Nothobranchius furzeri: one gene and its partners. The protein of the gene in region 4 interacts with the protein of the main gene of each other region in a pairwise test. Links are inferred from orthologs where the notes say so. Each region holds a gene or a part of one and is shown on either strand. Other genes may lie near its edges.

Region 1 (5,254 bases), on a different chromosome or scaffold from region 4:
AGTTGCTCTGTGTTGAACCAATCATGAGGCTGGAAAAGAGCCACACAGACAGCACAGTAGAAGAATAAACCATTTTTTTCATATAGCGCCTCAAGATAGAAATCACAAGGCACTTCACAAAAATGATGAACATATATTTTTAATTATATTGCAATAAAATTAGGACAAAGGAAAAATGCAAAGGAAGAATTTTTAAAAAGTTGCAGCTGGACAAGCTGATGGCTAATGTTTACATCAGGTAACCACTGAAAAATTGAGATAAAAAAATTACTGTCCTGAAAAAAAGAAGAAAAATGGAGAAAAATGCAACTTGCATCGGTGTCAAATGTGTTGACATATACAGGCTATTTAAAGTCATCCGATAAATGTAAGGTGCACTCTAAATGATATAAAATGCATGTTCGAACAAAGTCTGAGAATATCACTAATCTGTTTTAGCACCCGAACCGGCTAGTGTGAAATGCATGCTTCAGATTTCCCCTAATAATACAGGGTAATAGAAATTGCCAAAAATAGTTTGGTCAGTATTGGCTGATATGAAAAATATTGTGGTGATGGGCATTTTTTCCATATCGTCCAGCCCTACTTCATATCAAAGAACTTCAGGTGGTATTTTGAGGATTCTCATAACTTAGATTAATTAAACATTTTGATATGTGATGCATAACCGAAAGTGTTAAAATAAAGCACATTCCTAGTGTGAGATTTACAATCACATAAAAATATTGTTTTTTTCCAGCTTGGTGAATTGGGAAAGGGAGCAGGGAAAGGTGGTGGTGGTGGAGGCTATGTGAGGTCAGCAGGAGGTGCCTTTGGAAAGCGAGAAGCAGCAGAGGAGGAGCTGTACTTCCGGTGAGATGCCAGGCATAGTGATAATACTGTACTACTACTTTCATTGTATTGTGTTTTCTTGACCGTCTCTGTGTTGCATTTGTTTGCAGGCAGAAGGAACGGGAGCAGTTGGAGGCACTAAGGAAGCATCATTCAGAAGAGATCGAGCACCACAAAAAGGAGATTGAACGCCTACAGAAGGAGATCGACCGCCACAAGGGCAAAATCAGAAAGCTCACGCACGACGATTAAGGGGGAGAGGCCAACTGTCAATTCTTTCCTGAGTAGAACCGCTTGTGAACATGTCGTTATCACTTGTACTTTCTGCAGGTCTTAGTCATGAAAGGTCCTTCTGACTCATCATGCTGAAATAATAAAGTGATTAATCTTCCTACATTGTCAAAATATGCATTTAATTCGCTTTGGATTTTTAAACATTTGGCTTGGTGTTCAAAACATGTGCATTTGTTTCTTCCAAGATAATCAAAATCCCTTTTCAGCAGTTGGATAAAAAGGAAGCATTCTTTTCCATCATCAGTGTTGTGAACGTATGTTTTCCATACTTTCAACAGAATCTTGAACATCAGTTTAAAATTTGAGAAAATAACTATCTGCATACAGATATCGTGCATTTTAAGTAGAAGTAAAATTACCTGTTGCAGTCACACTGCATGTTTTGTTTTTTAGTGTAAAAGTACAACAAAACGAGGATAATTCAATTAAACAGACAAAATACAAATGGACCAGAAAATACTCATGAAATCACAAAATTGATTCGTTATGCTGCGAAATGAATATAAGAAGTCGGGATCACAACTTCACCGCAAGTATTGCCTGCTAATACGTAGTTTTTCGTTTTATTTTTGTTCGTATCTGCGAAACAGAAACCACGGCAGCCATGATTCTCATGAAACCCCCTTCAATGATTTCTCGTTCTGGTCTCGCGATATTTGCTGAGCGGTTGCGTTGTTCGGGCGAGCCGACGACGAGACCGTTGGTGTCTGGAAAAATTGTCTCGTGGTAGAGATATAAGTACACTTTGTTTGGGCATTTTCGTTCGTTAATAAAATTAATAATTTCGCGCGCTAAACCACGGTGTAATTGGCTTCCTGAATCAGGCTGGTAAGTTTTGCTAACTATCAGTTTGGACCTTTTATGTGTTTGATATGTGAGAGGCGTTTGTCGGCACCGCGAGGCCTGCGCGTAAGCTTCGATAGTTAGCTTTTTGGCTAACTATCGCTGCTACTTGAAAAGGCACATTTTGAAATCCCCATCTTGCTTTGAAATATAGTCATTAAATCTTCTGTTAAGTTTTAATTGAGTTCGTTTTCTTTTAAAACGTGCATGTAAATATCAGAATTAAACGTATTTATCTGGCTAGTTAGCGGGCTGCATGCGAAGGAGGCGGGGCTGTAGCTATCTGTTGTTTCTTTTTGAAAACCTGGCTATTTTTTATGTAAACGTGTATATATATATATATATATATATTATATCTCATCCTTCATTTAATAGCATATACAACAATTTTAATTAATTGAATTAGCAAATGTCAGCAGTTGCGATCAAAAAGCAAGAAATCTATGAAGTGAGAGTATTTTTTGTTTGCTACAGGCTGAAAACGCAAATTATTATATGATCTCTAGATTTTATAAGTAAAATAATTACGCAAATGCAGATTAATCAAAAGACATGTCTCTCTTGATTGCTATATTGCAGAGGAATGGCTGCTGCTGAGGTGAATGGGAGTTCTGCTCCATTAAAGGAGGAAGAAGAGCCAATGGATGTGTCAATAACACACACAGAAAACTACCAAACACTACTTGATGCTGGGCTGCCTCAGAAAGTCGCTGAAAGTCTAGATAACATCTTCCAGACAGGTCAGTAATCGCTCCAAAATGAGCTGCTAAATTAAAATATATATATATGTCTCCAAATTGTTTGACATTTTGTTTTATATGTGTGTGTGTGTATGTGTTTTTACATATGTATATAAAATTTACTGTAGGCTTGGTGGCTTATGTTGACTTGGACGAAAGGGCCATTGATGCTCTGCGAGAGTTCAATGAAGAGGGAGCGCTCACGGTGCTGCAGCAATTCAAAGAGAGTGACCTATCTCATGTGCAGGTATTCATGTTTATAGGTAACATTTTAATATTTGTCTGAAGCTGTGATTGTATCCAAAGTGCTTTATGTTTCATTTGTATTTATATAATTTTTTTGTAGAATAAAAGTGCGTTCCTTTGTGGAGTCATGAAAACATACAGACAGAGGGAAAAACAAGGAAGCAAGGTACAAGAGTCCACCAAGGGTCCAGATGAGTCCAAAATAAAGGTGAATTATTTTATGCACATTTGTATGAAATGTTAAAAGTGAGCTTTAAAGTTAGATCTGAAACTAATGTTTAGTTATTGTTTTTTGTTTTAAGTCTCTGTTGGAGAGGACAGGATACACTCTGGACGTGACTACAGGGCAGAGAAAATATGGAGGCCCTCCACCTGAGGACGTATACACAGGCTCACAACCAGGGATTGGAACTGAGGTAGGAGTGCTTCATATATATATATATATATATATATATATATATATATATATATATATATATATATATATATATATATATTAGGGCTGTAGCGAAGCCTCGACGAAGTCGACGGCTCGATTCTAAAAATTTGTCGACGTCAGATCCGGAAGTCGACGCACCGCGCCCACTTTTTGCATCCCCAGGAGTTTGTAAATAGAGGAGGAATCTGCCTGTTCTTCCTCTAGTTCGCCCTCTTCTCCGCCTTCACTAACATCTCCGCCAAATACCGAAGACCCGGAACAACGTCCGTCCACTACTAGATTATTTTCCTGTTTTGCCCCTTCGTCTCCCGGCAACGGACAACAACTTCCGGGGTCAGATGCGCTGCTTCGTGTCTATCGCAGATGTAGAAAATCACCGGGAGCGCTTCTCCCTTCATTAAGGAGCTTCTTTCAGACATGAGGAGAGCTGTTTTGGTGGTAGCAGTCTCTCCTCCATGCTGGTCTGTTTGCTGCTGGGTGTTTTTGGTTTATTTAAACTTGGTAACTTGAACTTAATGTTGGTAAAGCTACTGTTAGCATCTTCGCTAACAGCTTCTTGCGTTGGGATAAGCTGTTACGTTTTGGTTTAGAGTTCATATTTTTTGTGGTGTAGATCTCCCTTTTATTACATTTAGAGTGTTGTGGGTTTTCGGTTTAGTGTAAAATATCACCTGAGTTTGGTTTAACCCGTAAGACCACTCGCCTCACGCACATAAGTGACCAAAACAAAGCAGCATGGAGACACTCCATCTTCTACCACCTCTCAGGCAGCAGCCTGCACTCCCAAGTTCTACACGTCATCAGAACATAACCAACCAACACAATAAACACAGTGTTATACAAAATGGAAGGCCTGTAGTGTTTATTCTCTTACAGTAAGAATTTATCAATTCTTTTTGAGGAATTTATTTGAGATTTTCTGGTTTTTGTTAATTGTGCAATAGAAAAATAATCATTAGATTAATTTTCTAAATAGTCATTAGAATAGTCGACTATTCGATAAAATAATCGTCAGAATAATCGTTTTAAAAATAATCGTTTACCCCTAGCCCTAATATATATATATATATAAAGTGATGAAATTTTCTGCAAACTCTGTTCATACATGGTGACCAAAATGCAGCAGAGCTTTGATCTTAATTATAACTAAAATATGAAAGACATTTGAAAATGTGCCCAAATTGTTAATCTAGTGATTTCTGGAAATGGACTATTAGGTTGGACTTGGACTTTTAGTTGACTACACCAATCCACTACTTAAAAACACTTTGTTTCTAATTTTCACTCAGTTAGATGCTGATATCATTGATGGTGTGTTTGTTTCTTTTGTTTTATTCAGGTGTTTGTTGGGAAAATCCCCAGGGATCTTTATGAAGATGAGCTTGTGCCTCTGTTTGAGTCTGCTGGTGCCATCTGGGACCTCAGGTTAATGATGGACCCCCTGTCTGGTCAGAACAGAGGTTATGCTTTCATCACATACTGCAATAAAGATGACGCACAAAAGGCTGTGAAGCTAGTAAGTCTTACTCTATAATACAAAAAAAACACTAGTCAAATTTCAGTTCCTAATAACACAAGAACATTTATATAAAGGGATACTTTGCAACTTTTTCGTAGTTTTAAAATAATTTTCATGAGCCAGTATGTGCTAAAATGACCTTTTACAGGCTCTAATTTCCCTCTGGGGTTAATAAAGTATTATTGAATTGAATTAATGAAAGGCCACTCAGCTCCTATTGTGACCAAAATATTCCACTTTCAACTTCTGATTCGTGGGCTGCTCTGTTGGGATTTTAAAAAATGTAGCTGAAATACCTGGCACTGCAGTCTGGTTCCAGCACATTTCCTGCATGTTTTAGAT
Region 2 (5,003 bases), on a different chromosome or scaffold from region 4:
TCCATGATTTAAGAGGCAATTTTTTGTGGACTTTGGGAGACCAGAAGAGCTTTAGAAACCGTTCCTCCTCCCTAGATGGACTTAGAATACGGGAAGAGGCCATGGCATGTTTGTAGGAGACATCTGAAGCAGAGGATGTAAAACTTGAGGTAGTCATGGAAACATTTAGAACTGGACTTAAGGATGTGAGCAACAAAAGGAGCTTTACCTCACGTGCATTGGCCTACTTTCTTCACATTTGACTTAGGCAAGAGCAGCTTTTCATCTCTGAGCACTTGTTGGCAGACGCAACACTTCACTCTCCAAGGGCTTGGAAGATTTTTGAAGGAGCAGAGTTTTTGAACGTTATGCAGCAGTGACATGAAAATAGGACGACCCCCACCATCTCCGTGTACTTAAATACCCCAAACCTGAGCCAAGTTCCTCAATGAAGACTTCACAAACAGATCAAATGAGAGAACCTAGATTTTTACATGTAGCTGTGGTATTAAGCTAATCTCAAGTTTAGCTTGTTCAGTAGTGCAAGTGGCTGTCCTTCTCCAATCCAGCAGGATCAAGAGCCATTAGTTTTACTTCCCCATGCGATCATTTTGAACAGGCAACGGAATCAGGATCATTTTCCACATTTTGTTTAATAGGCTCCATGAAGCCAACGAACAGGAAAAAAAAAAAAAAGTTGGATCATACAAACATAAGTACAAAAATGTTCCCATTTATATTTAAACTCTGAAAAACGAAGTTACATTTGCGATCACTTTAGTCCATTTTACAGCACATAAACTGCAGAGCACAGAAGATACCTTGGACGGACTGTAGCATGTTGCATTTTGCAACTTCATGAACAGCCGGCCGCTTCGGAAGTGTAGTTCACCAGTCTGGAAGGAGTTCTTTTGGGAAATTTTAACAAAAGCTTGGACAAACTAAGATTCTCATGAAGGAATTTAACAATTAAAATCCCAAAAGTTCTAGTTAAGAGCTCCTTACTCAGTTAAAAATAAAAAACCAGGAGGTAGGTCAGTCTTAGGCTAAAGAAGAAAAAAACTTTAATTTAGAAACTGTATTGCTGGACAAAAGAAATCTCCAGCCACTGTAGCCGATTTACCAGAAGCCATGTGGAGAATTGTTTCAGCCCAGGACTGTACAGGAGTTCACACAAAGTCATGAATGATCAGAGGATGCCCAATCAAAGATCTCTGAACTGCATTTGTAACATGGTTTTTACCAAAATTCAGTTTCTTCTGATGCCAAGCTACTACAACAGAACTACATAACTAAAGTCAATAACACGTGGACATTTTTCTTGAGGAGCGCAGCTTTCAAATACAGCCAGCCAAGTGATGGATCTTGAATCAGGGTGACGTTTACTCGTGTGCTGGAGGATAAGAAGTGGGCACAGGTAAAGACACTGGAGTTTTACAACATCCCCTCAACCCATCAGACCTAATCTCAAAACTCCTTTTTTAAGAGGCTCCGTCAGTTGAGAAATGAGCAGTTTGAGAAGGCATTTGAGTTGGTGCTTTAGTTTCCGCCAGTCTTCATGTGAAACCGGGCAAAACTGGCAACAGAGGCATTTACTTGGGCTCAGGTACAAAACTGAAGGGCACACTTATGAGGCAGGAAATGCTAGGGCTGTGAAGCTAGCCTGAAGGTCCCTCAGATGAAGTCCATCAACATACTTTTTACAATTCATGTAAACATTCTGTAGAGTCAGCCCCAAACTTGAACTATTCAGTTTAACTACAGCTTACCATAGCTGTCGTATCCATCACGATAGGATCCTGATCGGTCACCATATCCACCCTGTCCCCTGAAGGTCAGAAACAGAAGTAGTTAGTGCTGTGGTCCCTCCTAAAGTGCAAATGAAAATCTGTTGTCCGACTACTGACCTGCTCTCTCTGTAGCCGCCTGAGGAGTATCCTCCTCCACCACCTCCACTCCTGTATCCACCACCAAAACTCCTATCACCACCACCGAAGCTTCTGTCCCCGTAACTTCTGTCTCCATATCCTCTGTCGCTGTTGTATCCACCTGTTAAAGACACTTTGTCATAGTACTGCAAAGGGACATTATAGAAAATATTTGTTTATATAAGTGTGTGGATATTTTTTAAGATAGAAAACATGTACTAACCTTCACCTCTGGAGAAGCCTCGTCCGCCTCTCCCCCGGGACCCGCTGCTGAATCTGCCGCCTCGTGGCCCTGAGCTGAATCCTCCTCTGGAGCGTCCACCTTTCCCCGCTTCATCAACACGAATGGCACGACCATCCAGAGTCTAACGGAGAAAATTGCCATAACATTACAAACATTTACATACCAGTTAATTTGCATCAATAACCCTTTCCCACAATCCCAACTTACCTTTCCGTTCATGGCGTCCAACGCATCCTTTGCATCATCAACATTATCGTATTTGACGAAGCCAAACCCACGCGACCTTCCAGTCTCTTTGTCTCTGATCACATCAACTAAAAAAAAAATAAAAAAATAAAAATAAAGCACAATTTAATGCAATAGAATTTAAAACTTACGTAAAACAGAAAAAAACAATGCGGCGCTTCTACGTTCTTTACCTTTTTCGATGGTTCCATATTTTCCAAAGGCGGCGGCCAGAGAATCCTCGGTGGTCTCGAAGCTCAAACCTCCGATAAATAACTTGCCTTCGTCAGACATTGTGATCTTAAAAAAGAAAAAAGTTTAAGTGCTTAAATATGACAATTTCCTTAATTGGTTACAGAACTAGAGCAGGGTGACGCAGCATTAAAAAGTAGGTCACCATGCCAGTTACAAAATGGCGAACACGTTGCGCAGATCCGCAGTACCGTTCTGCGATTTAGCGGCAAGTTAAAACACGACAAAAAACAAATGGGAACCTCTTTGGTGAACGTAAATAATTGCTAACAAAAAGAATAACGCATTTTTTACTATCTGCGGAGCCATAAATATGCAAAATATTGAATGGAAATCGAGGCCAGATGGCGTGCTCTTCCTTCCGGCGCCATCTTGTAGCATAGCGCTTCTGTCTTCTTTGTTTCAGTGGCCCACTTAGCATGTAGCTCATATTTCCAACACGATGACCCACTTTCAAGGTTACGTAAATAGGCCAGTACATCAAAACATAGGCAAACTGCTTTTACATATTTTTAGTTAAAACGTCGTAATTCAGCAGACTAGGTCGGCTTTTTTGCTACATAAAAAACACGAGTTTAACGGTTTTATCCAATATCTCAAAAATAAAATACCTAATATTCACGAATCATCAACGCAAGCACCGTTATTTTTAAATATATTTTTCAAACTTAATGAAATTACGCGGAAAAAAACTTTACCTTTTGTTTGAGCTTGTGGGAGCGACAGAAACGGAGCTAAGCAGCAAGACGAGTGAGGAAGAGGAAGAGGGGCGCTTTCTTTTAAACCTTTGCTGCGCTTCTTCTGGTGTTTCGCAAATTTTAAACTCATTACTGCTTCCTACTGGTCAAAGTACGGTATTACTGCCAGTTACGATTACTTAGGATGCGTCTTTGTTACTACCTATCTGTACAATTAACTGTTATTTGGTTATATTTGTAAAACACTGACTGCTTGTTGCTAGTAGCAGGAATGATAATGTAGTTTAGTGTAATTTCTAAATGGAGGTTCCCTTTGTGAAACGCAATCATTGTAAATCAAAAATATCTGTTGCTTTAGTTATTGGGAAGTTACACGTTTAATAATATTTTAGAATTTTGTAAATTTACCTATTCAATTGTATTTTTTAAGGAAAACTTGCTCAAATCATCACATCCATTGAACATCTGACAATGTATTATAAAAAGGAAATAAATTAAGAGATCTCATGAGATATTGTGATTAATAAAAAAAATCAAGGATATTTTAAAAGGGATTTTCTAGAGATTGCCTTGTGACACAACCTGTCCAGGGCGTACCCCAGCTTGTTTGCCCAAAAGACAGCTGAAGATAAGCACCAGCAGGTATAGAAAATGGATGGATGTTCTACAGCAGTTATGAGTAGTCAGCATATCTCACCTGCAGAGTGGTCTCAGTGTGACGAATCAGGGAGAAATGTAGTGTTGCGTCATCCGAAAGAGGTCAGAGGCAATTTGTCCTTTTCCTGATGGTTCAAGCGAATCATCCTAATAATAAATAATACTGAGAAAGCTATCATTTTGATCTGTAACGGCATCTTTGACTCACAGTTTGAAAATTCAGTTTTCATTTATTTGGTTGCATGTACATCTTATTTTTCTTTCAGAAATGTGGACTTTATCTTAGACAACACAAAAAAAAAAATAAAACAGTCTGATGAGAGCAACTCTTGCTCTGCATTCAAGGTAACAAACAAAACAAATAATTTTAATGTGCAATTTATTTTTTATACAGACAAAACCATGGCTGAGTTGAGATGAGATAAAGACACACATGAGATTTGGAGACAAAAACATTGATTTTAGACAGCACTGTGCACATTAAAGGTCTCAGCAATGAGGTAGAAACCCAAACCAGTGGATCACCCCACCATTTATATTTACAGTGTGATGATATAATTATCTAGCCTGGCAAGCCAGACTAAATAAATGTATTATTTAGTCTGGCCACGATCCATTGACGGCTCTCGGTTGTGGGGCGGGTTCTACCGTTGTCTTTCAAATGATCTCCGCATTCCACTGGACAATGAATGTGACTCTTGTTTCACTCTGTTGCATCATCCCACCCACCAGGCACATAGAGTGCCCTGATTGGCCCACAAAGCGGATAAAGCTCTGTGATTTGTTCACTAAGCAGATAGAGCACTATGATTGGCCCACAATTATGGACCAATCACAGCTCTTTATGTGTTTGAAACCCCTCTAGAGAGCTGTGATTGGCCAGCCAGAGTCCTGGTAGAGCTGTGGAGGTTCCAATGGAGCATGCCTAGACCAAACTTTGCAAAGCAAGGATTTGGTCTAGTTCACTAGGCTAATAATTATCAGCTACATTCATTGTTCCTACATCCAGATTCTTCATCC
Region 3 (4,970 bases), on a different chromosome or scaffold from region 4:
TCACACAGCTGGTCTAGAGGAGACACAAACGGATGGAGGTCAAATAGATTAAATTTGCTAGAACTCACAACAACTTCTAACTATATTACATTTTCTTTTCAGTTGCCCAACCTTTTATACAAGTTAAACCCATTTTTCTACTCTATGCAAGAAACCTTCAATAAAAACTAAAACTATATCTGACTTTAATATATCTTCTAGTCTCTGGCCAGTGCTGTTTGATCAGTTTGTAAACACACACACTTTAATTGGCTGTCACCTAGAATAAACTTTAAATCTCAAAATTCCAAAAGAAGAAAATAAAAACACAAGTAAGTTGAAGAAGAAGAAGAAGAAGCATACATTAAATTAGCTGGCACATGAGTGCACATGAGCAAATTTTACATTCCCAAAACATAAATTGCACACATTATTACAAAAACAGCAAGACAAGATGTTTTAAAAGAGTTGATATTACTGCTGATCCTCTGGGTCCTTACCGAGGAGCAGAAGTCCAACCGACGAAAGATAGCAGCTCTACTGATACGAACATGCCCAAGAAGTATATCATCCATAGTAAAAGTTAAATATAAACTGTTAAAGTCAAAGTTCATGTAGATGAACCTTTTTATTTTAAGTTGCACCAGAGCACAGCCATTGTCATGGTATTGGGTGAGTGGCTTCTAACCAGTTCCTCAAAGTGTATCTCTGCAAAGGTGCAGTGGTACGCCTTCACTCTGTTGGGTGATTGGTATTGTAAAATTGATATTGCTGGTCACCAAGATGCAAGGATGTTTCAGCTCAGTGGTCTAGTGGTATGAGTGCCTTGGGATTGGGAGATTGGGGTTTAAATCCCGGCCGAGTAAAAGACTTGATGCTTTCTTGCTTGACACTCAGCAATAAGGGTTGGAATGGGGGTTAACGCCACCAATTGATTTCAAAGTATTTTATAAATTACTCTGTGGAATGGGACCAGAATGCATGTTGGATCTCCATCAGGTATACCAGCTCTGACATTATGAAGTAGTCAGCTGGTAGAGCCTCAGGACAGAACAAAACAGGGTGAACTTGTTTCTTGCTACTATACACACAGATGTAATCAGCTTCCTCGTGAGCTCAAATGTGCCACAACTCTAGTAACTAATCAAAATTGAAAACCTTCATGTTTTCATCAGCTTTTGAATGACTGTTCTTATGCTGAACATTCTGCATTATATTTGCTTACCCTTTAATCTTTTAAATTGCATTTTCTGACACGTTTATTTTAATGTTCTTGCTATCCTCGCTAAGCAATTGCCTCTGTGGCTGAAATGCGTTATATAAATAAAGCTGCTTTGTTAAACACAGATAAATACATAGATTTATTAAGTTTTAGTTGTTGAGTAGTTTGTATAAGTTATGACGTTCTGCCCCTTAGACTAACTATGCCGTTAAAAATTGGAATTTTCTAAGCGGTATATTTAATTTTGAAGGAATCTACAGAAAAAGCTACCCAAATCAGCAAGCCTGTTATTTGTAGTTCGTTGGAGATTACAAGCGCGGCACACTCGCGCATGCGCAATACACAGAATAGACGGCGTAGTCGGGGAAGACGGCTAGCCATTTTGGCGTCAATACAGCAAATCGAAATATAAATTATTTGCTCGTCGAAGGTAAGTGGAGAGCTGTACAGTCGATTATAAAGTAAATAATGGTCTTAGCGATTCATATAGCTGGTACAGCAATTTTAATATTAAAGTTGTTTGGTTTTAACCTCCTTGTATCCGTGTAAGTAACTAGCTAGCAGGCTAATGCTAGGCTACACGAGGTTAAGGCGCATTTTCGTAAATATAAACACAAACGTGGATGAATCTGCAAGAAGCAGCAAATGGGATGTTGTTATGTTGTTCCGTGGTATCGATTAAAATGTAAATGTAGTTATTTGTCTTATCTCTGTTCATGGCGCACGTGAAACGCCATTTGCTACACACACTACCACGGACATGAACGGAGGCCATTAACCGGCCCTATCTCCTGGTTTCAGTGGGTTGATGAAAATTGTTTGAATTACTTCTGTGTCGTAATTTTATAAGATGTAGATTAATTAAATTTAGAACTCGAGTTCATACACAGATTGATATAATTTACAGAGTTTATAGAAATATCCAGAAATAAGCAAAGTTAACGTTAGTTTTCTCTTCTTGCCCACATTTAAGTTTTGTTCCCCCCTTTTCTTTCTCTTTCTGCTGATAGGCATTTGGACCATTAAACCATCGGGCACTGAATACAGATCATCTGCCTTCAAGTTAAGGTATGGTTAGGGTCTGTACCCTATAAATACATACATAAATAATTAACTTAATGTTATTTTTTGGAATATTCTTTTAGTTGTGCTGTATGGATGTTTTGACTGAAAATATCCAACAATTTATTTTAAAAGCATTTCTAATTGCGTTTTACATACCTTCGGAATAAAATATTTCCTGAGTTTGAGCAACAAGAATTTGTGATCTTGTTGATCTTAAACTTCTCGCTTCATTTTGACAAACTCGCCTGCGCTGGAGTGGACTCTGCCGTTTCAAGAGAAGAGGATCTTTTAAACAAATGTCTATTCTTTGCGTTTCAATTGAAGTGAGTCCAACAAACGAGTAAAAAATTTTCATCGGCTGAATACATTTTCACTAACTTAATAAACTTGTGAGGTATGGTGTTCTAGGGCTGCTCGATTATGGCAAAAATTATGATCACGATTATTTTGATTGAAATTGAGATCTCGATTATTTAAGACAATGTTTAAATTAATGTTGGTTTTTATTCTGTCATAAAATTGCACAGGGCACAATCAGGACAAAAATAAACAAGAAAAAGAAAGAAACAAGATGATCACAAAAACAAATCCTGATTCCTAGTATAAAAAGGCTAATGCACTTGCATGTAGTTTATGATCCAAAGAGTTTAGGCTGAGGTTTAACTCATTTAAGGGAGACCCAAATACTCAACCCAGGGTTTCCCTTACATAGGCGTAGCCCGTGGCGGCCCGCCACGGCTGAAATCCCACCGCCACGCCTACAAGATCCCAAGTTTTTTTTTTTTTTGCACTGTTTCCCAAAGAAGCAGCGGGAACTACTATGTCGTCGCTTGTGATCACAGCCGGTGGGCAGCAAGGAGCAGGCAGGGCTAGGTGAAGTTACAGCATAAGTTACTGAGTTTAAAATTAGAAAGGTAGCAGTGGATATAATGCTTTTTGGTTTACATGTTTCAGTAGCATTAAGATAAACAAGTGTTGACGATCTTGACAGGGTTTCCTCCAGTGCTTATTATGCCAGGTTCTCCTCCCCCCACCAGGTTAAGCATCACTTATTCATGTAAAATTTATTTATTTTTTCATGTCTGACTTTAACCGCATCTAATACTGTATTACGGCGTGAGCTCAACAGCGACAACTTAAGATCGATGTGTGAGCAGCGTGAGAGGTCGGGTGTTTTCATCTGAACCCTTACAACCTCCAGCAGGCTACGCTGCACTATTGACGTGTTAGCGCACGGCGCTAACAACTTAGCGACGTGACATGTCTCTGAGAAAGCGTAAAAACACGTTGGACGCTTCTTCTGAAGCGGGAAAATAACACTTCTTCTTAAGCAGAGCACGACGTCGCCTCGGCTCGTTCACAGCCGAGCCGGACTGAGCTCGATAACATTGACCCAGCACAGCCACTGGGTCGTTGGAGCTGCCCCGTGACTGCCTGATGGAAAACCAGCAGGTTTTATCAGACTCGTAAAGTTTATTGTTTTTGCTGGGGACCCCCTGTATTTTACCGCTCCCTCCTGCAGTCTTCCCCTATTAAAATTTAAAATGATTCTGTAAATTCCGTGTATCAATAGAAAAAATATCTGCCTCTGCCAGCTGCAGTAAATGTAGTCTCCAAATAATAAATAAGAGGTGCATTCGTCTGTGGATCTCCTTTGATCCGCATGAGTGATATTCTCAGCACCAGAACAGTGAAGCAAAGAAAGATTCCCGAGTTTGTTAGTAATTTTATTTATTAGGTGCATCTAACCTGTTCTATTTTTCTCTGAAATGAGATCAAATCAGTGCTTCTATGGGTTGTCTCCACTCTGCACTGGAAAATTTTTACTTTATTTAGAGACTACACTGCAACCAATATGTTGCAAACGATGACAGGAAGAATTATACAGTGCATTTATAATATAAAATAAATGAAAACATACAAACATCAATATTTTAGTGAAGTTCACAAATTTGCATAATTTAATTCTCTCCAGCAGTGCTGTAGGAGTGTGGCAACGTGTCGCTCAGAGATATAAATTATTATTTCAGTGTGAGGAACTTTATCTATTTCTAAACAATTTTTTTTTACAGGCTGGCTCTGTTAGCCTTTTCTTTTGCGACCGACACAATATGACATCCCTTTCCTAAAATGTCCGGAAGGACGGTCTGGAAAAACAGGCTGTGTGTTTTGCTAACCTGCAGAAATGTAGACTATTATTCAGAAAGTAGCTGAAGGTTACCAGAATTGTTTCTAGGTTGTTTGCTGGGTACTTTTAGAAGTTAAAAAGTCAAGAAGTGGGTCTGAAAAGCTTTAGGCAACACTGTGGGAGGAACGCTTGATTTGCAACTCACAGCAGTGCAAGTGGGAGGAGCAAATAATCATCATGTTTTTATAATCGTTCAAAACTCAGACCGTAATTGGGATTAAAATTCGATTAATTGAGCAGCCCTATGGTGTTCTAAAGTTTTCTTGATTTCTCTCAAACATTTGGTTTGAGGATTGGAGAGCTTTTTCTCACCATGAACACTGTGTTTTGCAATTAGTACAAGTTAGTTAATTGATTATTTTACTACATCAAAGTGAAACTTTGGTTCTAAAATGTGTTGCGCTATTTCCTGACATTTACATCTCATGGAAGTAAAATGACAACTAAGTACTTTTAATGTGAATGGACCCATTTAACCCCTACTTTGTAGACATTACCCACATTTGATTTTCTTGG
Region 4 (4,485 bases):
AAGGACAACCCTAGATGAATTAACATCAGAATAACACAAGAGGTTGGATTTTGCATTTTGTTTCTGTTTGTTTTAAAAGCTGATGGGCGATAAAGTGAATGTTACAGCGTCTTATGAAAAATTTAAAAGAGAACAAAAAAAGATACAAAGAGAGTAGGAGATCACAAGTGTGGAGCACCTTCAGTATCTACCATACGGATGTTTTCTGTAGCCGCCTCTTGTCAGCCGTAGAGCAGGAGCTTTCAGCCCGACTCGGATGCTCGTCCATTCTTCCTCTGCAAAAAAAATGTTAGACACGTTGAGGAAATATGATTTGATTACCGTGGTGAGAAATTTCATGTCATACAGCTAACTGTGGGGCAATGGTATTGTATTTGAGCCTTTTACGGTGCACTTCAGCACGCAACGACAAGATATTCTGGCTGCAAATTATTTCTAAGGAACTGCAGGGGTTTCTCTTAGCAAGAAATAAATTTTATGAGCTTTTTGCCCTTTTGTTGAACCATTTCTGAGATTAGACTATTAACGGCTCTTTCCTCTGAGCTAAATTACATAAAGATGGCCATCTTTGCTGTATGGCACTCTGCGCCGTTTACAAATAAGAGAGTATTTATGTAGCAGAAAATAAAATCATATCTCCCTTGGTTTTGGTTTGAGTCAACCTCGACACCTCGGTGATTTTTTAAAAATCCTGTGAATAAATGAACCTTCAAATGTGCAGCAGCACCCACCTACCAACACCTTGCACCTGAATTCCTGAGTGACCTTTGTGCTTACATTAACGCTCTTCTTGCTAAAGTCTTCAGAGAGTTTCTTTGAAAATTGGTGGTCTCTTTGATAAAGAGAAAAAAAAATATTAAAAAATATCTGGTTGTTTGGAGATATATCCAAGATTGATTTATGTGCACACAGCAGAGGTTAGAAGAGCTTTCTGACAAAGACCTTTGAGGGCACATACCCAAAAGGCAAAACAGCATCTCAGCAAGCGTCGGTTAGCTTCACGAGCTGCCACCGGCACATTCAGGGTTTTAGTTGGTGCAGCTCATAACCAAGCAGGTAGGAGGGTTGATGCATGCAGCATGGCTCCCTGGGTCAGGAAGTGGGCTGGAACTGAATTTTTCTTTGTCTCGTGCCTTTCAAATAACAACATAGCTAATGCGGACGTTTATAAAATCCTACACTCTCCTCATGAATGCAGTTAATTACCAGCAATAATAGTAGATAATTAGAATTGTTTTCTTTTATAAAAACAACAGTGCTGGCTCGTTAGCAGCACAGCTTCACACTAGACCTTCCTATAGACTTGAGCGTGTGAAGCAGCAGTGAACTCATATTTTAATTTTTGATTAGTCCTGATAGATTTAGGAGCGAGGTACATGGTGAGGCACTGTTGCGTGATAAAGAACTTAATTAAGCCTCTATAAAGTACCCAAATCATTTTTATAGATGGTCTAATCAAATAATCAACCCATTTTTCTGCTTTAATCGTAGGGTTATGCTGCACTCGTGCTAGATTAAACACTACACTGAGCGGCTGCCTGTATTAAACAAAAAGGATGACACATGAAAATGAGGGTGACTCATATTTAGGTCACTGATCTTCAACGCACCAAAAACAAAGATCCTCCGAGGACATAATCAGCCGCACTCACCATAGTTGTTGTAGGATTCATCACTGGTGCTGTGTCCGTATTCATAATACTCTGAAATGCTGAATAAAACAGAACAGAGCATCAGCTCAAGTATGATTAAGTAACACACCAAAGCAGACATGATGTTTGCAGAATTCTGCAAAGCAAAAAAGCCAGTTTTCCTATCATCCCCTTCTTATCAGCACTGTCTGTAATCCTGAACCCAGCGGAGCCGCCGAAGCTACATAAATGTGTAGTTTATTCCATACAAGGACTCAATAATCCTACAACAGATGGGCTGTGTCGGGTTTAGAAACTTCCTCTCAAGGATGTGCAAATAAAACATTTGCTTAAGACTATTTTCATCTGTGGATTAATTCATTACACATTAGGTGCTCCAGTGAGGATCTTCAGTAGCAAGATGCTGAATCTGGGACTTACTGCTGTCTGTGCTCGTGTTGCTTGTGTCGCTCACTGATATGTTTTTAATAAACGGGGGAGCTATCTGGACCAACTAATCAGTCTCAAGTTTTTCTCTAGTAAATTTTTCACTTTAATATCACAACATGAAAATAAGTCACCGTACGGACGCTGTACACTGGTTTGTTTACTAACGTTACCTCTTTGACTGACTGTTGTAGTCCTCGTCGTAGGCTTCGTAACCATCTTCGTCGTATTCACCATCGTATCTGTCATCGTAACCCTGTCAGCAAAAAAATAAATAAAAATCTAAATAACAAAACCATCAGCGAGCTGCTTTTTGGATCATTGAAGTGAAATTTACTGTTAGTGTGTTTTATGGCATAGAAATGCTAATAATTCTTGATTGTACTGAATGTTTCTTCTTAAAGCTCCCATTCACTTGTTTTTTCTTTCTTTTTTTTATTTTATTACCGTGTCCTGTCTGGCTGTGAAGCAAGCAGAATTGATGTCTGAATGCTGGTGACAAGCCTTACAGATTTATTCTCAGGTGGAGCATCAAAGCGTTTGCTTTTAATGTCACGCCTGATACTTAAAACTTTATTGTTATTGTTGTTGAATGCGTTGTAATTCCGACCAGACACGGAGACAGAGGTGAAAGAGAAAGGAAAAGAAAAGGTGGGGAGAGGAGGGGGGGGGGGGGGGGGGTTCCACAAGAAATAAACAATAATGAATAAGAGTCTGCTTCTAGACCTGCAGAAAAAGACAAAAAAAAACAAAAACAAAAGGACACAAAAAAAAGGGATACAACAACAATACAACAAGATCAAGCTATCACTGCGTCAACTTGATGAAAAAAAACAACATATATATATATATATATATATATATATATATATATATATATATATATATATATATATAAAATCAACATTGCTTAACTGAAGAATCACGATAATAAATCACAGTGCATTAAGTGCCCACCATAGTCTTAAGACCTGTGTTATACCTGCCCAAGTCCATACTTTTGAGAGCACCATGTGAGCGCCTGTGTGTGTACACGCGCTTGTTTATTTAAGGTTTCTCTATAGGAGCGTCCAACAGAGAGTGTGAGGGACCACAGATCCGCCCCCCAAAGATGCGCAGGAGACGGGGGGAGCTCCAAGTCCCAGAGATCCAGGCGCTGCCCCAGAACACAGGAACCCCAAGGAGACTGCAACCAGGAAGGCCCCCGCCCCCCTCGAGAGGCACAGAGGATCGCCCCGGGGGGCCACAACCAGCAGCCGGCAGAGTCCCTGGAGATATCAGCGGCAAGCCCACAGGCCCGCCCGCAGCCTCCCACCCCCTAGCCGGCCGAACCCGGGACCCAGCGACCCGGGACCCAGGGGCGACCACCCCCGCCGGGGACCCAGCATAGCCCAGGGACCCAGACCCCACCAGGCAGCCACCAGGATCTATCAGGCAGATGCCAAAATCTTAAACCCCCAGACCCGGTTGCCACGAACACTCAGGCAGACCAAGGCACAAGCCCCCACACCAGGTGTGGCAGGGGGAGGGAGGACAAAGATCTATATCATCAAAAGAAGTTCCAGGAGAGGGGAGGACCCAAAGGCCCCACCTGACATATGCAGTCATACACAAACACAGTCACACACTCCCTCCCTCATGCTCACACATGCACATACAACCAAGGACTTACAAAAATGCACGCCGGACACCCACTCATGCTCCCCATACACACCCTATTCACTCTGGTCCCGGTACTGCTGCACATTGGGTACAACCATCACCGGTAACCAGAGTTTGACCCTTTCTGCTGGGGTGCTGATGAGCAGGCTCCCCCGCCCAACGCTGAGCACGGCAACCCACCACCCCAGACCCCAACCAGACGGCCAGATCTCCCTCCTAGCCTCCAGCCCCAGGAAGCCCAACAACAACAGAGGTGGCTAAGACCCCTAGTCTCCCTCCGCCTGCTCCGCACTTGTTTTTTCACTACATTTGTTGTCTCTAGTATGGATGAATGCCTTGAGTCATTTGTGTCAAAGTAGAAGTTAGCTGAAGAAGTGGAGAACTGAAAACTGCTGGATTTGAAGTCTTACTCATGAATATTTATGATATGCAGTCAACTTGCTTCTGATTGGCTAACAACAATTTGACTCTTCCACTGTCTCCGTTTTCTCTGCAACAGTGATATTTTATCCCCACAAATACCACAAATCTGAACCTATTCCACCGTGTTGTGGAGTTGCTACTAACGCTAAGTTTCTACTAGCCAAGATGCGCTCTGCTTTCTCCTGATTGCAAAATTCTACACTCGTGGTTGCGAGCCAACATGGGTGAGTCCATGAATACTAATTTACAGTGTGACATAGGTCTGTATGTCCTCTCTGGTGTCTATAGGCAGGGCTATTCAGTTGCGGATCTCGAGGGCTGG
Region 5 (5,116 bases), on a different chromosome or scaffold from region 4:
CATCAACAATCTTGTCATGTTCAGTCATTTTCTTCCTCATTTTAGTGCTTAGTTTGAACTTCAGCAAATAATTTTCACCAGATGCCTAAATGCATTGAGTTGCTGCTTTGTGATTGGTTGATTAGCTATTTGTGTTAACGAGCAATTTAACCCACATGATAAATGGCCTGAGCTTCATGAACATGTTTTGAGAAACAATGACTGAAGTTTCTCGACGTAATGATTACATTTAGGATATTAGACACGTTTTCCACTACAGAGCAGTTTGAAGCTGTCGTTTGGGATTTGAAAAGATTTGGTCAGCTGTAGCGACTAGAAGACACTCTGCACCCTGCAGCAAATGTTGAACGGCTAAAATAAATAAGAGGGTTTGGATAATTTTCCATAAATCAATTCAAACATGGAAATGGATATTTTTTGAGGGTCTGATGATGAGTTTTGTTTTCTAGATTGGAGACATAGTTTGGAGGGTTTTATTTATCTGTCTTGTAGCTCATGATTAAGGTAAAGAGAGTGAGCCAGCAATAACCCTAAAGGTCTTATCTATCTATGAATGCTGCCAACTGTGGCGTCAAGGATGTTCTCCGAATGGGATGGTTTCCATGGTGACGCCAACTGAAGGGGTTCAGAGAAGATACATATTTGATGAAGGACTGTTTTCTTTGAAATCCCAGAAATGAATGTGAGCTTCAAAAATGTTTCCATAAAACAACGACCAGAGTCAGACTCAGATAAAATGTTCCATTTAAAACTCCGGTGCTGGAGAAGCTGCTACATCCAGGAGCTGCATGTTGCTTTGGAAATGCTTCTTCCTGCTAAAGAGGCAACGTGTCACCATGCATAAATCTTAAATGAAGACAGTTTGCTGCATTGCAGGATCACAGCTGGCGTTTTCTGGGTTTCTTTTAACCACCGTGTCTCAGAGGATCAAATCTGAATACTTGTTATGATCCTTACTGTTAGGTAATGGATGTCATTAATGCTGTCAAACCTACTGAGATATGACAGTGTGCTGTTTGATATTATAAATGGAGGACAATGGATAAAAAATACATGCCTTTAGAACATCTTCTTTTTAATGTTCTTTAAACCTCTTTTTTTCTCCCCATTTTACTGTGTTCTAACTTTGAGCAACTTTTGATGGTCATTCAAACACACCTCCTGTATGGTTTTAGTAATAAATCATTAGTATAAAAGAAACAACGTTGTTTACGTATATGTTTAAAAATATAGCGAAAATGGGAAAACTCTTAAACAATAAAATGAGTGACCTTACAAATGAAAATCACCAAAGAAGGACAGAAACTGATGCAAAGAATCCTGCAGAAGTTCAGAAGTTTGATTCATTAAACACAAACAATTCAGCTGGAGCAAATTTGTGATAATTTCCTCCAAACTTTAATTTATGAAACATTGTTTTGATCTCGTAATATGATAATAAAAAAAATCTGAAACAAACTCTAATTTTTTGAAAGGTATCTCTTCTATTTTTTCCTTTACCTTCTACATTAAAGCAGTTACAGTATCTCCTTACAGCCTGGACGGAGCTGCATTATGAGGAGACAGCAAGGGTCATGTGAGGAGACAGACAGTTGATATGGCTCAAACAAATCAAAGATTACGGACATTTGGCAGTTTGGTGTGTAGGAGGAATAAGTGGAAACTTAGAAACTGGGGAGATTAAAAAAGTAATATTAGAGACATTATTTAGTTGTTTTTTTTCACTGATGCTGTTTAAATGAGTAAACTGGAAGCTGCACAGGCCCGGGTGCTTGATAGGACTCCACCTTGTTATACTCCACCACTTCCTCTTAACCGCCAAAAGACAGGAAGTGAGAAGAGACAGAAGAGGAAGAAAAGTAAAGGGGGATGGGCTTGCTGCTTTCATTTTAAACACAAAAATGCAGAAGAGAGACAATCAGTGAGAGACATCAAAACAGAACGGGGGTCAAAAATACAAGAGACAGCAAAGTATGGCTCCCTGGACGAGGACGTCCACAAAGCGGTTTGGTGTAGGTAAGTGAGAATGTCTGCACTTGTGCGCTTCTGATCATTCATTCATTCATTCATATGTGCAGAAAGCTTCTATGATGCATCAGTTTTTGATATAATGACGATAGATCAAAAATGGTAAATGACAGATAACAGCACCAAGAGTTGATGATACTTCCTGCTTGATGCTTAGTGAGCAGGCGCAAAAGGCCTCTGGGCTCTGCAGGATGTGCAGATTTAGCCTTTCACTAAAATGTCTTTAGATGCTCAAATTATATTTTCCATTTAACTCTGATGCAAAACCCCTGAAATGAGCTAAAGCAGAGGAATATGTTTAGGTAATATTAAATTCAACAGAGATGTGGCTGGGTTAGTTCTACGCCTTGGAGACAAACAGGATGCATGAAGATAAATGCTAAAAGATAAAGTTCTTTAGAAGTTCTGCTGTTTTCATGGTAAAACTTCGAGACTGGCCACGCGGCATTAAGCTGCGATAGCACAACCTCGGCCCAGTGTTTATCTGGCGTGTGATTCAACATGAAGCCGTTCGGCATGTGTTTCCATTAGATATGAAACATGCTGAAAATGTGACAAGAACACAGATTTTCTGACTTCTAATCCAGACTGTGAAGAGAGATTGACCAGCTTGTTGCAGAATATTTGATTCTTTAAAAGATTCAGTTTTACCAAGAAGATACCGATTAACCACAACCTTACACTGCCCAAGTAATCAAAGTTTTACTTGTAGTAACTGCATATATTAAGAGTAGCAAAAATAAATAGAACTTTACAAAGTCATTTGATAGACAGGACTTTTCCATCTTTTATGAAAAGATGAGACTAGAACACAGGAAGTGGTGGAAGAAGGAAGTAAACTTGTGTGAGTTTAAAGCAGCAGCTGAACCAAGCAGAAATGCTCTAAATGCACAAACTTAGGTTTGAATTCTATGGAACTCAAAAGTATTCAAAATTCAATAAATAAATAAGACATTATGAAATAAATATCTACATGAATAAATACTAGACAATCATGTAATCTGACAATGAAATGATGAAATAACAGAATGTTATGTAAAATCTAAGCTCAATATTATGAAAGAATTTCATTCTTGTTTTAAAATGTCTTTATTAATATAAAGTTTTTTTTCAAAAGTCATTTTTTCATAATAATCCAACTTAATATTGAGCTACTTTTAATTCATTCAGTTTTATATACATAACGTCTTTTTAACAGACAGCTTTTATTTCATTTTTTATTTTTGTTTTTTCATTTCTGTTTTTTCCCATGGCTGATTTATTTCATAATGAGACTTTACAGCAGAATGTCTCGGTCCGTCAGTCAAGCCAGTGGGTGTGACCTGCAACACCATTGGTTAATCCTTCATCATCGTTTGGTTTTCCTGGATTTCTGTAATAGAACAAGGGTATCCCAGCATGCATTGCGCCCCCGGCTGTGGACTTTCAACAGGAAAAGAAAATGGGGAGAGCTACAACATTTTAAATGTAAGTTTGTTTAAAAACTAGCGGTAGAAAAGTAAAAAGCTTAAAGCGGTTCTGTTTATAGACATTTTTCGTACGTGTATTTGTTTTTTAAATTACATTTTGGGCAGAAATCAGCCAGAACAAGCTTGTATCGCGGGTCCCGTAGTTATTCCTGTGTGTGTGTGTGTGTGTGTGTGTGTGTGTGTGTGTGTGTGTGTGTGTGTGTGTGTGTGTAGCGAATTAAAGTTGTCATTTGTTTTAGGGTTAGGGCTACACATGACCACAGTAGTTCTGTGTTCTGCTGTGAAAAGCAGTTTTACATTCAGGGATTTACAGCTGACACGTTTTAATGAAGTAAAAAGTGTTTGTGTGAAGAATATAATTTTTATCTTCTCATGTGGATAGATGTAAAAATGTGTTTATTGCCTTTTTGTCACCTACGGCCTGATTTTCTCTGTAGGACTGCAGGTGTCCAGGGTCAGGAGAGGCTTTACCTGGTGGTCCTCCTGGGAGAGAGGCCTTCTACTGTCATCACGTTAATGTCATTTAGCTGTTTGATATTTTAGCACATTTATTAAAACAAATACTGACTGATAACTCTTTCTGGTCATTGATTTTATCACCAGTTTTATTATTACAGATGTTTTTGAACATGTTACATGAACAGAAAATGAAAAGATGGTAAGGAGACAAGATTATTTATAATACGTTACACTTATTTACAGATCAAAACCAGTATGGACCAGTTTTGTACGGTTAAAGCAGGATTAACCTGACTGACTCTGTTCCTGGATCATTTATTTAAACTGAGTGAGCAGGAAGTCTTTTGCAGTGCAGCTGGATCTGCTGCAGGAGGATCCAGACGTGGATGGAGGGCTGGAGCAGACCCGTGGCTGGACGTTTCTGGCCAGAGGAACATCATACAGGGCAGTCTGCAGAGAGAGCTTTGGGACGCTTCCTTTCACTGTCCACTCCATCGTCCATCTACAGGGACTGCTGGGCTGGCTCAGATGACGGCTGTTACATCTCTATGAATGACTTGCCTGTTAACAATCGTGATGGTTTGCTGGTACCTCCTCCAGGACAGAGCACCACTGACCTCCACACACATCTTCCTCAGACTCATCCTTAGGGATGGGCACCTTTGACATTTGAATCGATTCGGTACTAATTCCCGGTACCTAGGGATCGATACCGGTACTTAACGGTACCAATTTTTGATACTTTTGAGTGTTTACTATTTTAATTCTCTTTTATAATTAAATACATATTTTTCTCAATATATAACAATATTTGATAAATATCACGATAAATAACATACAACTGTTTGTATTTTAACATTGTCCTTGTAGTTTTATAAGCTGATAATTAATCTGAAGCAAACATCTTTACTGTGAACTAAATTTACTGTGTATCTTCATTCGTTTTGCCGTCTTTTTTCATTAGATTTTTCCTACTGGGAAGTTAGAATTTCCGAGGAGAAAGCGAACGCACCATTAGCTGATAACAACGGTGGCATAGGAAGCTAACATATCAAGCTAATGCTATCTTAAACAGTTTAACTGCTGGAGCAGATTAAAACGATGATGCCTCACACTTAGATCGTTGTCGCTGGTTTCATCTTCACCCAATCACCCGTCGC

Evidence for each region.
Region 1: the proteins of khdrbs2 (region 4) and heterogeneous nuclear ribonucleoprotein R interact in binary tests that used the Homo sapiens proteins (3 or more experiments, as listed by UniProt). The link is inferred for Nothobranchius furzeri from reciprocal best matches to the Homo sapiens genes KHDRBS2 and HNRNPR.
Region 2: the proteins of khdrbs2 (region 4) and cirbpa interact in binary tests that used the Homo sapiens proteins (3 or more experiments, as listed by UniProt). The two-hybrid records come from large-scale screens. The link is inferred for Nothobranchius furzeri from reciprocal best matches to the Homo sapiens genes KHDRBS2 and CIRBP.
Region 3: the proteins of khdrbs2 (region 4) and ncoa5 interact in a two-hybrid assay, tested with the Homo sapiens proteins (2 studies listed by BioGRID). The two-hybrid records come from large-scale screens. The link is inferred for Nothobranchius furzeri from reciprocal best matches to the Homo sapiens genes KHDRBS2 and NCOA5.
Region 5: the proteins of khdrbs2 (region 4) and dock2-like interact in binary tests that used the Homo sapiens proteins (3 or more experiments, as listed by UniProt). The two-hybrid records come from large-scale screens. The link is inferred for Nothobranchius furzeri from reciprocal best matches to the Homo sapiens genes KHDRBS2 and DOCK2.

What each region holds. Positions count from the first base shown.
Region 1 is NC_091759.1:6,952,133-6,957,386, reverse strand, and holds the start of heterogeneous nuclear ribonucleoprotein R, read left to right. Parts: upstream 1-1,802; 5' UTR 1,803-1,953; intron 1,954-2,547; 5' UTR 2,548-2,551; coding exon 2,552-2,708; intron 2,709-2,836; coding exon 2,837-2,955; intron 2,956-3,054; coding exon 3,055-3,162; intron 3,163-3,256; coding exon 3,257-3,370; intron 3,371-4,732; coding exon 4,733-4,909; intron 4,910-5,254. Other genes in the region: atp5if1a (ATPase inhibitor A, mitochondrial), read left to right, coding at 740-852, 942-1,083. UniProt on the Homo sapiens protein: Component of ribonucleosomes, which are complexes of at least 20 other different heterogeneous nuclear ribonucleoproteins (hnRNP). hnRNP play an important role in processing of precursor mRNA in the nucleus.
Region 2 is NC_091751.1:56,696,903-56,701,905, forward strand, and holds cirbpa (cold inducible RNA binding protein a), read right to left. Parts: upstream 3,453-5,003; 5' UTR 3,327-3,452; intron 2,677-3,326; 5' UTR 2,671-2,676; coding exon 2,571-2,670; intron 2,466-2,570; coding exon 2,359-2,465; intron 2,273-2,358; coding exon 2,131-2,272; intron 2,029-2,130; coding exon 1,887-2,028; intron 1,808-1,886; coding exon 1,749-1,807; intron 1,373-1,748; coding exon 1,362-1,372; 3' UTR 614-1,361; downstream 1-613. UniProt on the Homo sapiens protein: Cold-inducible mRNA binding protein that plays a protective role in the genotoxic stress response by stabilizing transcripts of genes involved in cell survival. Acts as a translational activator.
Region 3 is NC_091743.1:58,540,382-58,545,351, reverse strand, and holds the start of ncoa5 (nuclear receptor coactivator 5), read left to right. Parts: upstream 1-1,518; 5' UTR 1,519-1,631; intron 1,632-2,211; 5' UTR 2,212-2,269; intron 2,270-4,970. UniProt on the Homo sapiens protein: Nuclear receptor coregulator that can have both coactivator and corepressor functions.
Region 4 is NC_091752.1:19,510,543-19,515,027, reverse strand, and holds part of khdrbs2 (KH domain-containing, RNA-binding, signal transduction-associated protein 2), read right to left. Parts: intron 2,335-4,485; coding exon 2,252-2,334; intron 1,712-2,251; coding exon 1,653-1,711; intron 276-1,652; coding exon 181-275; 3' UTR 1-180. UniProt on the Homo sapiens protein: RNA-binding protein that plays a role in the regulation of alternative splicing and influences mRNA splice site selection and exon inclusion. Binds both poly(A) and poly(U) homopolymers. Phosphorylation by PTK6 inhibits its RNA-binding ability.
Region 5 is NC_091741.1:92,146,259-92,151,374, forward strand, and holds the start of dock2-like (dedicator of cytokinesis protein 2), read left to right. Parts: upstream 1-1,664; 5' UTR 1,665-1,973; coding exon 1,974-2,016; intron 2,017-5,116. UniProt on the Homo sapiens protein: Involved in cytoskeletal rearrangements required for lymphocyte migration in response of chemokines. Activates RAC1 and RAC2, but not CDC42, by functioning as a guanine nucleotide exchange factor (GEF), which exchanges bound GDP for free GTP.